Kluyveromyces lactis: one gene and its partner. The protein of the gene in region 1 interacts with the protein of each later gene in a pairwise test. Links are inferred from orthologs where the notes say so. Each region holds a gene or a part of one and is shown in the gene's direction. Other genes may lie near its edges.

The links.
Region 2: the proteins of ATG20 (region 1) and RRN10 interact in a two-hybrid assay, tested with the Saccharomyces cerevisiae proteins (2 studies listed by BioGRID). The link is inferred for Kluyveromyces lactis from reciprocal best matches to the Saccharomyces cerevisiae genes ATG20 and RRN10.

The regions. Positions count from the first base shown.
Region 1 is NC_006041.1:817,216-821,037, reverse strand, and holds ATG20 (Atg20p), read left to right. Parts: upstream 1-1,298; coding exon 1,299-3,209; downstream 3,210-3,822. Other genes in the region: TRM3 (tRNA (guanosine(18)-2'-O)-methyltransferase), read right to left, coding at 1-943; KLLA0_E09153g (short-chain dehydrogenase/reductase), read right to left, coding at 3,335-3,822. UniProt on the Saccharomyces cerevisiae protein: Required for cytoplasm to vacuole transport (Cvt), pexophagy and mitophagy. Also involved in endoplasmic reticulum-specific autophagic process and is essential for the survival of cells subjected to severe ER stress.
Region 2 is NC_006042.1:1,161,406-1,163,663, forward strand, and holds RRN10 (Rrn10p), read left to right. Parts: upstream 1-1,333; coding exon 1,334-1,711; downstream 1,712-2,258. Other genes in the region: EMP24 (Emp24p), read left to right, coding at 1-401; NCL1 (tRNA (cytosine-C5-)-methyltransferase), read left to right, coding at 1,961-2,258. UniProt on the Saccharomyces cerevisiae protein: Component of the UAF (upstream activation factor) complex which interacts with the upstream element of the RNA polymerase I promoter and forms a stable preinitiation complex.

The DNA.
Region 1 (3,822 bases):
CAATCTCAGACCTACTTCCACTGAATTGGATAATATCGGTTAGGATGGGTAAGTTATTTTGAGCAAGTAATTGGAGACTCAACTTCATGATAGAGAGCACAATTTTCTTGATTTCATGAACCTCCTGGTTTAGTCCGGATTGTATTAAATTCCAGTAATCTTTTGATTGGGCGAAACTTTGACTTGTTGTTGAGAATCCATCCTCCATTAACATCCTTAAACAAAAGATATAGCCATTTTTTGCAACTGTGATTGGTGCGCTTTCGGTAAGCAAGTTACGTAAAAGAGACCATACGGTTATATCTAGTTTCTCATCCTCTTTGCAGGCTGTAGCGAACGATGGGATCCACCATTTGAACAAAGAAGTCGCCGCATTTGAAAGTTTCTCATCCTTCGATAACGAAAGTAAAAAGAGTAGCTTTCCAATGTTGACACTGTTGGCGATGAGGTCGTTATATGATCCTGAAGCGGACCCTTGAACCAACACTTCAAGAATGTCTAGCAGTTTTGTTCCATCTAAGATCAATCCGTCATCGAGCGAGTTAACTTGAATAAACCCAGATATTCTAATCAGTTGTTGACATTCAACATCAAATAGCATTGTTATATGCGAAAGGATGAATGAGCTCAAATGGGAACTTAGAAAATCATGCATAAATTTATTGCTTTGCTTTAGCTTGGGACAAAGCTTAAGCAATGCAATTAGTTGTTGATCTTTTTCAACTCGCAAACCATCGTCATCATTGACATGTTTAGCGATTACTTCTCCAAGAGTGATAGATAGTCTATTGCCAGTGTTAATGGAGACATCTTCTGTTAGTTCAACCGAACTTAGCACCGAACTAATACCTTCATAATCTTCAGTTTCAATGAGTGAGGAAAGAATCTCTTCTTGTACTGAGGGCGAGATATACCTACCCAAGATTTGCCTTGAGTGGCTCATTATCTGATATAAAAATCCTTACGTTGAAATCAGGTTCTAAAACTATATACATTCCCATAACATGTAATTAAGTTTATCTGGTCTCATCGCATCTCATCTGGTCAGATCGATTTAACTAACCGTAATGGTATAAATGATTTTTCAAGATGCATGTTGATGATGAACAATTGGGCTGCGCCAGAAAAACTTTGGGCCCCGAAACACGTATTAGAAATCGAGAAGACTGTTACCCGAACATGGCAGTTAAGTTACAACTTGTTGACATGTAAAACGCCCCTTATGAATTGACACGAACTTCAATATGAGTAGATAAAGGGTTGAATTAGGAGCATATGAAGAGCTATTTAGTGACCTTATGCAGATAAATTTTGAACCAATGCCGAATTCAGTAACGCATTTAGAAAATAACAGTCCTTCAAGACTTAAAAACAATAAGACTGTTGAGGAGCATAAGGAGCATGAACCTGATTTACAGACGCAGAGCGAGATGAGAAGGGAAAGCAACGGATCTCCCAAAGACACTGCAGTCACGAACCAGAACGGTGATCAACCTCATGAGAATGTAATACATACCCAGATTATCAAAAAGGACAACCCATTTTTCAACTATATGCAGGATAACGTGGACGGAAGTGATGAGAATGGAAAGAATGATGACGATGATGAGAATGCCAAAAACGCCGGAAGTGATGATAACGAGGACCAGCTTCTTCAGCCAAACAGAAGAAAAAATAGTAAGGAACGGCGTAGGAGCTCAGTAGCTACGAGTAAGGATAGTTCGCCAGATGTGCCATATAATACCTTAAACCATAACGCGAGCGGGATGACAAAAGAAGGTAAGAAAAGGGCCCAAATACTCGAGGCAAGTAAAGTATCCGAAGGACAGGGAAGAACATATATCGCTTACGCTATCAAATATGGTGATTCAATTGTGAAGCGGCGTTACAGCGATTTTGAGAGTTTGCGGAAAGTGTTAGTTAAGTTATTTCCAATAAGTTTGATCCCGCCAATTCCTGAAAAGCAATCACTCAAGAGTTACGGAAAAGCAATGACATATTCTAAATCAAGTTACCTATTACCAACGGAAAGCGGAGACTCAGTAGATCTTTCGCTATCAGTAATTAACGGACCGGTTACCACGAATGATGAGAAGCTCATACGGCACAGAATCAGGATGCTTACAAGTTTCTTGAACAGACTCTTGAAAAACCAGGAAATAACAAAGACTTCTATCGTGTACGACTTTTTGGATCCGAACAATAAAAATTGGAACGATCTAATCACAAGCTCTCTTACTATCTCATCATTACCGAAAAGTGTTCTTCAGTGCAATCCAATAGACCCTACAAACACTACAAAAGCACATTCATATTTGCCAGTACCGTCATCATCAACACAACTGCTGGCATCAAAGGACAATCATTCAGCTTCGGACGCTGATGAGTTCACTAAAATTGAAGCGGAATTCAAAAATTACGAACAATTGATACATTCTGGTTTGTATAAATACTCAAGAGCTACTACCAAGGAGGTGAACTATTTACGGGAAGATTTGAAAGGAATCAGCTCTGAGTTTGCACAATTGTCAACTGACGAAACAAAGAACGAGAGTGGACTAGCAGAATTACTTTCACACTCCAGTGATGCATATGGGACTCTGCAAGAAATTCTGGAAACTCTTGTCGGAAATTTGCATTACAACATTAATGAGCCTCTTAGTGAATGTGCCCACATGGCCACTGCTGTGCGGGATTTAATTCATTATAGAAGGTTAAAGTTGATCCAAAAAGATATCTTAGAAAGGACAATACTTTACAAGCGAGGTCAACTCATCAAGTTCCAACAGCAAGAAAACGACCACAAGCAAATAGACAATATGGTAAAGGAAGAGCTTGGTACAAATGGAGCAGTGAATCTAGAAAACCCTGCAGGACCACAAAGCTACTCTGGAAAATTCATAAATAAGTTTACCCAACTTGCAATCATAATTAAGGACTCTGTCAGTTATCAGGAACAAGATCCTGCAGCAGCTGCAAGATCCTTAGAGAAAGAGTTGATACAACTAGATGAAACATTGAAAGTTGCTACTAGTGATCTCGTCGTTATTTCTGAAACTCTAAAGAATACTGAATTACCAAACTTCATTAAAGAACGTGACGAAGAATTGACTCAAATCTTTAAGAATTATGCGAAATATATGAAGGAGAATGCCACTAGAAATCTTGAAATATGGAAAGAGCTACATAATCGCATTCAGGAAGCATAATCAGCTTTTGAATTAACAGATTTTTTTGAATATATACATTTTACATATATGAATTCCACCCTCCCGCGTTTAGATTCTCAACAAGAGCGGCATTAAGGAACGGATATTCATAAACGGCAAAAGTTTTATAGGAAGGGGGATAAATATTTGAACATCTGATACCATTGCCAATCCAATTCTCTTAGAGCTAATTTGAAATTCGTCCTCATCGAGTATCCCTGAACACCTTGTCTATTATGAAAGATAGCACTGAAAACAGTTTTAGCCGTCGTCATATCCTGGTGCGGTTTAGAATTAAGAGCTTTACCAAAAATCAAAAGTAAGCAGCGAACTCGGCCGTTGCTGATCAAAAAATTCTTCTTATATTGCTCTTTCAACGTCTGTTCAATCAGTTGGAGTAATTGAAACTTCGTTGCTTGTATGGCACCATAAGAAGACTTATTTTCCGTAGTGTATAAGCCTTCCGTTGAAGCAATGTCAATTATATAACCGCGATCGTACGCTATCATTTTAGGTAAAATATGCTGAATAATATGCATGCTGCCCGCATACACTGTTCTCATTAACTTTCTCAAACTCACACCTTTCCCCACTTCGGCGTCAGTAAAACTTT
Region 2 (2,258 bases), on another chromosome or scaffold:
GAAGCGAGGTCTTGAAAACTTTGAGAGACGTGTCACATGGTGACGTGTTTGTGAACGCTCCATACACCGGCAAGTTCCAATACTGCTTTTTGAATGAAAACTCGAACATTGACACTAAGGACGTGACTTTCAATGTTTTCGGTGTTATTTATGTCGATTTAGATGATCCAAACACCAGATCTTTGGACGGCTCAGTGAGACAATTGTCCAAACTGGTCAAAGAAGTGAAGAACGAACAAAGTTACATTATTATCAGAGAAAGAACTCACAGAAACACAGCAGAATCCACTAATGACCGTGTCAAATGGTGGTCTGTGTTCCAATTGCTCGTCGTTGTAGTGAATTCGTTGTTCCAGATCTATTACTTGAAGAGATTTTTCGAAGTCACTTCGTATGTGTAAGTAAAACGAAAGGCATGGCTGCATGAAGTATATCAGATATAGTCGTCGTGTATATTCAAAGTAAAAATATGTGTATATGTATATCCAGGTTTTTCCTCTAGCGCATAAGTATATCATATTAGAGGAGTAATCCCTAGGGCTGGAAATTGAATAAAGAAAAACCTTCACGTGATCGCCTCAATCTGCTATCATCTTCTTTTTTCCTCAAATATGTTTAAGAAAGCACCCTGTCGAAGGAGTGTGATGCTTGGATATGTGGCTCCGGTTCGAAACCGCACAGTCACACCGGGTCTCTTTCAAATGGAAGAGGTTTCACAATGGTATCCCAAACAGGCGTGAAATGTCTCGTAGTGGTTATATGCCATTACCCGCTTTTCGTGTCTGGCCGCCCGGTCTACGCGTTCATTTATTTGTGTAACTGCTTTGGACAGCTGGATCTCGGTTCGGTTGTCACGTGGTCGACGTGTCCCACCGTTACAAAATTGTTGCGGGTTATCCTTTGTGGTGGCTCGGTCGCATGAGAAGTCTGCGGTTCGAAGCCCAACTGGTAACGATTTAGCATTTCAACTAATACTTGAAGCTAGTTTAGTGTTTAACGTTGTAGGGGAGTCTCATCCAGCACAACGAACACTGCCCGTGACGAGGTGGTGTGGATTGCACGTCCCGTGGTTAAGCAGTGCGTGTGGGTTCAGAGGCAGACATACACTGTCCTTCATTTTTTTTGGCTGTACTTAGAAGTATGTTATATGGCTAGCGTCGTGCACTGATTCATCATTCAACAAATACTCCAGCGAAGCTGCACTGTTTGTCTAGTTTAAATTTGAACTATCTCACTATGTTAAAAAATTGTGAATTGCACATAACTACAACAACTTCTGTTTCCCCGGTTCATACTATACACAGCCATTTAGCATTCCAAAAGCATACCTCCAATGAACGCAAACGTATATGAAGCAAGCCATAACCTCGTCAAAGGTCCAAATGGATCAATTCTTTCACCGGATGAATGCCTTGGTTTAAGGTTGAACCATATCGTTCCAATCCCATTATTGACTAGAGACGAATTACAAACGAGATTACCCACTATTGATACGAAAGTGGTGCATTACTTTTTGACACAACTCATCTTACAAAGGTACCCGCATCTAGTGAAACGATTCGATGAGACCAGTCTCATCACAATTAGTTGGTTATTGGAGAAATGGATCGAAGATTACTTAGTGCTGCCGGAAACTGGATCCGTGTCTGAAGGGGTTTCTCAACAGATTAGCAAGGATATAAATTACAGATACTCACCAGCTGATATTTAGAGGTAATACTACTTAGTGTGTGTGTTTTACATGCCTTCCATTGTGTACCTGATCCAGTCTCTCTATTTACATACCACGTGACTTGAAAATTTTCCGAGACTTTGAAGAAAAGAAAAAGTGAAAATTAGAATCCGTTGATGATGCGATGAGATGAGCATTGTTTCCTGTCAGATACGGTCTTGTGTGTCTTGCTGTTGGGTTTATTCGGTTCTCTCTTACCAGAACTAGTGCAACATACAAGCAGGAGAAATGGCTAGAAGAAAGAATCAAAAGAAGGGACCAAAAAAGACTTTTGGTACTCGTGATGACTCCAACAACCAAAAGAATTGGACTGAATTAGTGAAGGAAAACGAGAAATGGGAAACTTACTACAAGGATTTAGGTGTAATCCCAGTTGAAGAATGGGACCAGTTTAAGAAGACTTGCCAGTCGCAATTACCTTTAACTTTTAGAATCACTGGTTCTCGTAAACATTCTAAAGAAGTACTACAACTGTTCCAAGAACACCATCTACCCAATTTGACCAACGTTACTTGGGAAAATGAAG